Linked DNA regions of Tribolium castaneum. The protein of the gene in region 2 interacts with the protein of the main gene of each other region in a pairwise test. Links are inferred from orthologs where the notes say so. Each region holds a gene or a part of one and is shown on either strand. Other genes may lie near its edges.

The links.
Region 1: the proteins of Cdk1 (region 2) and CycB3 interact in binary tests that used the Drosophila melanogaster proteins (3 or more experiments, as listed by UniProt). The link is inferred for Tribolium castaneum from reciprocal best matches to the Drosophila melanogaster genes Cdk1 and CycB3.

What each region holds. Positions count from the first base shown.
Region 1 is NC_087398.1:2,984,142-2,988,735, reverse strand, and holds CycB3 (G2/mitotic-specific cyclin-B3), read right to left. Parts: upstream 2,824-4,594; 5' UTR 2,684-2,823; intron 2,254-2,683; 5' UTR 2,199-2,253; coding exon 2,181-2,198; intron 2,129-2,180; coding exon 1,620-2,128; intron 1,571-1,619; coding exon 1,339-1,570; intron 1,191-1,338; coding exon 804-1,190; intron 754-803; coding exon 579-753; intron 527-578; coding exon 363-526; 3' UTR 220-362; downstream 1-219. Other genes in the region: uncharacterized protein Pex1, read left to right, coding at 3,171-3,260, 3,312-3,533, 3,583-3,697, 3,771-4,594. UniProt on the Drosophila melanogaster protein: Cyclins are positive regulatory subunits of the cyclin-dependent kinases (CDKs), and thereby play an essential role in the control of the cell cycle, notably via their destruction during cell division.
Region 2 is NC_087401.1:17,534,616-17,538,004, forward strand, and holds Cdk1 (cyclin-dependent kinase 1), read right to left. Parts: upstream 1,877-3,389; 5' UTR 1,669-1,876; coding exon 995-1,668; intron 938-994; coding exon 691-937; 3' UTR 624-690; downstream 1-623. Other genes in the region: transmembrane protein 53, read left to right, coding at 35-163, 212-373; CCT6 (T-complex protein 1 subunit zeta), read right to left, coding at 2,084-2,299, 2,350-2,501, 3,295-3,389. UniProt on the Drosophila melanogaster protein: Plays a key role in the control of the eukaryotic cell cycle. Required for entry into S-phase and mitosis.

The DNA.
Region 1 (4,594 bases), on a different chromosome or scaffold from region 2:
ATAACACGAAATGTTTTATTCAATTGAACGAGCAATTCTCCTGATGTAACTTCTTACGTAAAAACGGCGCCTAAAGTTCAAACGTTAGGTAATAATCATTCAATGCTTGTGTAACTTAAATTACTCATTATTCAACATAAATCAACAAGTACAAACCATATCTTGTCGATGTCTTCATCAACCGTAATAAAATTTGACGAAAATTTACTTAATGCCACACACGATAAAAATTAATATAATTTTAAAACAATAAATACATCTAGACAGACCTGGACTTAAATAATGCGAATAATCAGATATAAAAACTCACTTTACGAACAAGTAAAGCGTCAAAAACTACAGACATTTACCCATCAATTGGCCTAAACAAACAATTCTTCGTTACTTATTAGTGGAATCTTGGCTACTTCAAAGAATATCTTATGGGAATACTTATTTCTTACAGTCATTAGCGGACTTTTCGGCTTTTTGTGTAACCCGTCGTTTAGTAAAATCACAACTTCTTTAAAATCTTCAAGTTTGTAGCCTGAAACAACAAAATGTAATACGTATTTTTTTGAATTAAATAAAATAAGCACCTGAATAAAACTCTAAGGCGGTCGTCCACCCACTAATTTTCTTCATCTTGAGCGCCAGATACAGTGACGCTGAGGCCAATTTTGAGTCGCGTACAGTAACAGTGGCATAATCCATCAGCGAATATTCTAAAATAAATCTTGCGAGGGTGAGCACAGGCATTGTGATTTTGGCACACTGAAAGTAAAGTTGGGGTAAAACTTTAGGGATATGTGACGAGTTGTTACTCTAGCGTATCTCCTGAGAAATCTGTAGCTGATTGGAATGCCCAGATTAAAATCACAGACTTTTAAAATATTTATTTCCATTCGGACGAGCTCCCGGCACGTGTATGCCCCATCACAAATGTACAAAAAGTCGTTGATGGCCGGCGGAATTCTTTCGTCGTATTTACTAGCTATGAACATGGAAGCTGCGCCCACTAATTGCAAGGTCTCTTTGCCGACAGTCATCCGACTTAAGTAAAAATCCACTAATTTTACTCCTAAGTAAAGCGTCTCGTGGTTCAGTTCGAAACTTTCTTGCACTTCAACCATCCAGTCCACCAGAAGCGACCGCATCCAGCTCGTGAGACAGACTTGTCTGTCCATGTAGTCGGCGATTTCAAACTGCGGCTAAAACACGTAATTTTTTCTACCAGCGGCCCAAAAAATAATTTTAACACTTAAATTAAATGCATTAAACACCGAAAATATGCAGCCTTTCTTTGGATTTTTACAAAAAAAAAAATCTGACAACAGTTGATTTGTAATAAAAAAGTACCTCTCGACTCTTCATGTAATTGAAAATGTCCATGGCGTAGTGGGACACCTGGTGCACGTCGTCCCAGTTCTCCTTATCAAAGTCGGGCACTCCCTCGGGAACTTCATGAATGCCCAGATTGAGTTTGTTCTGGAGCTGCTGGGCCACGATGGACACCACAGATAGGTTCGGGGATTTCTCATCACTGGGGGGCGTTTTCGCTTTGGCTCCGCTGGAACTAACGGAATCATTGCTAAAACCATCCCTCATTACGCGAAAAAATCTGCTTTGGCGCGACTTACAGTTCCTCCAACGCTGACGAATAGAGAGATTCTTCAGTCTTTTCAAACTCGTTGCTCAGTCTTGTCTTGATGCGAGGATTAGAGATCTCTTTGAGCGCTTCTTTGGGTTTGACTGCCGTCTGGCCAGTCGTCACGTTTTTCACAGCAGCCCTAGTCACCACCCCGTTGAGACAGGGGGCTTGCGGGGGCAGAACATTCTCGTTCTGCTTGGGCTTGAGCACGGTTCTCACCGAGGGCAGTGTTTTGACTTGAACGATCGTCTTCTTCGCGGGCTGTTTTAAAGTGGCTTTCTTTTTATCATCGAACTTTTTGTTGTTGGTGATGTCACCCATTGCTGATCGTTTAACATTTTCTTTGACGGGGGAAAAGTCGGCTTTTCGTTTTGGGCGGATTTGGGCGTTTGTCAGGACTGATGACCGGCTTCGGGTGGAAACTGAGGCTTTTTGGTTTGTACGGATGGCGCCTGTGACGGCTCTGCTTAGGGGCTTCAAGGGAGCCATCGCAATGTTCTGGAAAAAGGGACCTTCAACAGGGGGCTCTCAAAAATGCACCGTTACGTACCTCACTCACAACTTTCATTATTAATTAACAGAAATGTCTCGGGTTATTTGTGTATGTGTGTGATGATGAGTCCCTTTTGAATAAAATAAAAATTTGGTGAAGAAAATCAAATGTCAACTCCAGGACCCCATAACCCATGTTAGTTTTACGCCCCAAAAATGCTATTTATCGAATTGATCGCTAATTGAGTAAAGCATTCGCTACGTTTTCTCTAACTTTGCAGTATTGTAAACAAAACTACACCCTGTTTTATCTCATCTGCATTTTACCGCCTTTTTTAACCAAACCCCTTTCATGCAGAAATGTGGATTAATATCCACATTCGGATCGTTCCTAAGCTTGCAATCACGAACAAATTTCAGAAAAAACCGCATAAAAACTGTTCAAGCAAAAAGTTCGTTAATGTCGCCGCTTAGAAAAACGTTAGATTATGAATTAGAATGGTGTAAAAACTAGTCAATGAAACAAGTACCCCCAAGAACGAGAAACTAACGACCACTTACCTCCTTAAAACTTGTAAAATTGCTTGTAGAAAAGTGTAGAAAAGCTTGTAAAAATTCACATGTGAAGTTCGTTGATGTTTAAAGCTTGTCGGCTTGCAGTTGTTTTGAAACGTTTCACTGCTTCGTCCCCATTGGTAGTTAAATAAAATAGAAGGGATGAAACAGTGGTGGTAAATTTGAATCGTATATATTGATAATTTATTTGCACAAACTGGAGTCGATTCCACACAAAAAAGTTAACGAGTGGTTAAAGTACAGTAACACTTGGTTCAAAATTGATAAGTTGTGTTAAACAGGATTAAAATTGTAAATCTTTTTGCATTTAAGTTGTACGACAGACGAGGCCTCTGCTGGTGACTTTCAAAAACGCGATTTGTAATTTATGGAAAAGGTTTAATTTATTTATTTAAGTGAAAAGTGTTGATTTTGCCCAGATGTATAAATTCCTCTAATTTTTTTGCATTTTTTTATGGTACTCAACTAAAAAATGTTTGAGGGATTATTAACTGTCAGATACGTAACCTCAAAAAACTGTTTCTGTGTCTTGTCTGTTAATAATTTCAAACATTTACAGAATGTAAGTATTGTCTCGTGTCCGCTAAATTAATATTGTCACGACTGATTGAAGAATGTCCTCAAATTGTCCTACAATGACAATGAAGCAATCCACGTGTCCGTTGACCCTTTATCAGGATCAGTTGATGACCAAAGTCTTGGTATTAATTCGTTATATGCGAAGGCCTTGGGCCTTGAGGACAATTCGTTGGTTACTGTTTCTGAAATATCAAAACCTCCAACAATTCAGAGTGTTACAATAACGGCCGTTGATAGTAATGACCATTTAGTTTTGGTAATTACTTCATCTTCTTATCTTGCATTTTATAATCATGTAACTTCAGGAATCATTAGCTGAAAATGTTCAGTCCACTTTGCTTGAGCAAATTCGTGTTCTCACAAATGGACAAAAATTTGTCATTTGGATTGGGGCAACAATTCATGTAACTGTTACTGTCTGTAAGTCGCTTACAGTCACTATAATAATGTGCCCATTCCTCCCTCCTTATAACTATTATTCAATTAATTGTAGGTGATATTAAACCAATTTCTCCCGGCAAAATTGATAATCTGACCGAAGTCGTAATAATAGCACCAGAAAAAAAAATTCATCCAATTTCGAACAGCAATGAGTCTAAAAACACAGACAAAACATCAAAGTTTCTGCCTGAATGTAAAAACAATGATGAAAATTTAATTTTGCGTATCGTGCCTTTTGAAGAAATAGTTTCGCAAATGCGCGATTTAAATTCTCCATTTAACGTTTTTGTGTTGAGGGCCAATGTCCCACAAAAAATAAAAGACACAATAAATAACACCACATTGTTTTTACTAAAATTGTTGAGTAACGAAGACGTCGACAAATCGCTTTACGTCAGATTAATTATTGTCGAGGACGTTTTAAGCGATTTTGTCCAAAATAAATTGTGCTTAGAGAATGTATTTGTCAGCAATACACTTTTTACTCATTTGAATTGTGAAGTTGGGGCACGAATTCGACTAGAACCCCACATCAGTACTTTGCCAGAAATCAAAGAAATAGAAATTTACACAAAACGGGATTATTCAATTGATGTGGTTCAAAAGTTTCAGCAATACTTAGCCGACAATTGCAAAAAACACGAATTTGTTTTAAATTCTGACGTAATATTGGAAATTGGCAGTAATGTGAGATGTTTGGTACGATTCCAACCTTGCCAAGCAAAATTTTGTGTGGTAACACAAGACTTGGTTCGAGATTGCAAATTAATTTTTATCAACGAAACAATTCCTCAGCGCGAAATTTTCGATAAAAAGGAATTTTTGGTCGACGAATACGCAACGGATGTGGCTAACTATAACGAGATTATCGACAGT
Region 2 (3,389 bases):
AAAACTTTAAATATTCCTTGATTTATTATTGTAGGTTGTTAGCAATTACATCAGTCCGAAAAAAACGTTCCAATCGAACCCGTTAGAAAACTTGAAAGATGATAAAAACAACTGTCCCCAACATTTTATCTACTCGAAAAAAGACATTCTTATTCCTTATACGGTAACCATCTTAACTATTGTAGCCAATCATCTTTTTTTTTTTTTCAAGGATATTGAATATTTCGCCAACTATCGAAAATCTCTGGGTATCGATGTAACAACTCTCTGTTACGAAACAAGTCCTCATGTTAAACACTACACCGAAAATAAAGAAAGTTACGTGAGTAGCGTATGCAATTTTTTAAATAAATGCCTAAATGGCACAAATTAATTCACACAAAAAACATTTCAACGCTTAATTAAACTTTAGGGTACAATTTATTTTTCTAGACGTTGTTGAATTGCACAAAATGTATTTATTTCAATTGTTTCATTAAAACTATGTTCCCAAATGATCTGCTTTATGTTGCGCCACTGTCCCGCATTTCCTTTCACTGTTACCATAGCTACATTGACGCATCACCATAGCAATATACACGTGCAGCTCGTGCATGATGTATTAAGGAGGTTTTCAAACACAAAAGATTTTTTAAACAAATATATTTAGAAAATAGTCATACTAAACACGATAAACCTAAACCTAACCGCTTATTTAAGGATCGGCTTTATTGACGTATCAACCTTTTGCAAATACGGATGTAAAGCGATTTTTTTGGCCGAAATCCTCTTGGCCGGGTCATAAATCAGCATTTGTTTCAACAAATCTATAGCGTCGCTAGTCATATTTTTTACCTGACTTTCCAAAGTACATGATTTCCAATTAGGGAACGTAACCTTATATTCAGGTAATGTGGACACCCCTGGCCAGATTTCGTCGCTTGGTGTTTTCAAAACCCTGAATCGAAAAAAAATGCAAGTTGTTTTCGTTTCTATAGTTACATGATTTGATTACCGAAAAATGCGGAAAAGTTGGTCGATTTCGGAGTCGCCTTGGAAAAGGGCTTTTTTGTTGGCCATTTCGGCGAAAATGCAGCCCAGAGACCAAATATCAATAGGGCACGAGTAACGTGCAGAGCCGAGGAGCACCTCGGGGGCGCGGTACCACAAAGTGACAACTTCGTGCGTGTAAACGCGAACCGGGACCCCAAAGGCGCGCCCTAGTCCAAAATCGGCCACTTTGATAGCCCCTTCGGAGTTGATGAGCAGATTTTGGGGCTTAAGGTCGCGATGAAGGACTCGTCTTTGGTGGCAGAAGAGAATGGCTTCGTTGATTTGGTAGAGGTAGCTTTTGACGAGTTGGGGGTCCATGTAGGAGCCCTGTGGGATGGTGTCGAGGTACTTCTTTAAGTCCATTGACAAAAATTCAAAAATTAGGTAAAGACGATTCTCTTCCATCATCACGTCTTCCAGGGAGACTATATTGGGGTGTGTGAGCTCCTTCAGGAGGGAGATTTCGCGAATGGCTGTGGAAGGCACACCTTCGTCTTCGGGTTGCAGTCGGATTTTTTTCATTGCGACTAGCTGACCCGTCTTCTTGTTTTTGCCCTTGTACACCACACCGTAAGTGCCTTCACCAATTTTTTCGATCTTGAGGAAGTCATCCATGTTGGCCCCCTGTTTCGACATTGCCCCAATATAACCAAACTTTCCACTTAAAATGACGTTTATAACGTCAAATTGCAATGCCTACACGACCACAAACACGATATTTTATTCAAAGCACACGAGTTTTGTTAATTTTTACACACTTTTAACGGCTCGTTTGAAGAAATATGGAGAAAGTTCGTTGGAGATTTTTGAACCAACCAATCGGGTACAATTATCCCCGTCTCTATCGCACTCACGTCAATCACAATAACCTGTCTTTTTTTTGGCGTAAATAGACACACATTACCAACTTCAGACACACAAAATTACTATACGATCGCCAAATAATAGCTTTGGCCAAAAAATGGGTGTTAAAATCCTTTATTATTGTTGTATAATAATTACAAAATCAAGCATTAATACGTGAATAAAATTACTGACAAAAAAAATCCATTTAACCTTTCAAACTGCTCATTCCGGCTCTCATTATTTCATCAACCAACAATAAATTGCTTGCAATCACCGAACACGAATTAATTATTTGTTTCTTCACGATGTAATTATCGAAAATTCCGGCATCTTTCGGATTAATCGGTTGTCCTGAAGCTAAATCAAGCCCAATTGGTTCCTTATTGTTACGAGATTCTTCTTGAAGTTTTACAATAGTATCCTAAGAACAACAAATAACTATAAAACAATCAATGAGAAAATCACACAAACCTGAGCATCGAAACCAGAATTCGTTGCCAAAACTTTGGGAATTACAAGAAGGGCTTCCGCGTAAGCACCAATTCCAAGACGCGATTTTCCTTTAACGGTGTCCTTGTAAGCCATCAATTCTTTGTGGGCGGTCACCTCAAAAGCCCCTGCGCCTGAAAAATATCACAAAAAACTGTTTTGTGTGCAAAATCAATTTGAATTAAGCGCTATGACATTTAGTGATTTTATTGGTACGGTTGGTAGCGAAACAATTGGCGGTGCATCAAATTTCGTGATGGCCGCTTACCGCTTAGTAAATTCGGGAAAAATCGCTGTTAAATCGGTTATTTCGTGCAAATGTTTGTGCAAAAGTGTTCAAAGACTTTCAGTGTTCCGATGTGTTGATCTAAACGGCGATTTTCAACATTGACAAGTAAGTACCGAAGTTGGGTTTTTGGTGATGGGAGTAGTTGAAGCAACTCGTAAATTCAATTTTTGAGCTCTATTTTAAACGGAAAACGCATTGTGAGTCTAATAAATTAACAATTGTGTGGCCAGGTCAGGTCATTGACCCCTATTTACAATTTCAAAGCCTAGTAACGCACATTTTTAAGACGCGTCACAAAATGACTGTGACGTCATCCATTAAGCAACTAGATATTTTGTTAATTTCGGGAAATGAGTGAGTTTCTGACTGAAAAATAATGCGCTGGAACCTTAAAAAAAGTTCAAAAATAATATAATGCTGGGCTTAATTTTGTAGTTTTGTGCAAATATGCTTGAAAAACGGCCTAAATTTAACGATAGTTTAGATTTTTTACAATTCTTGACTACAAAATTTAAAAAATACACAAATTTGGTGATTTTTTGGGAGATTTATGATGAAATTCAGCAAAAATTCCCATGTAGAAACTCATAAAAAGGATAATTTAATTTTTTTTTAATTCAGTTTTGTCTTTTTATTACCTGGAATCAAGGCTTTGTCCTCTATGGCATTATTGATGGCCCTTAATCCATCCCTCACAGCATCCTTGATTTGAGTGAGAGTGTGTTTATTGGGC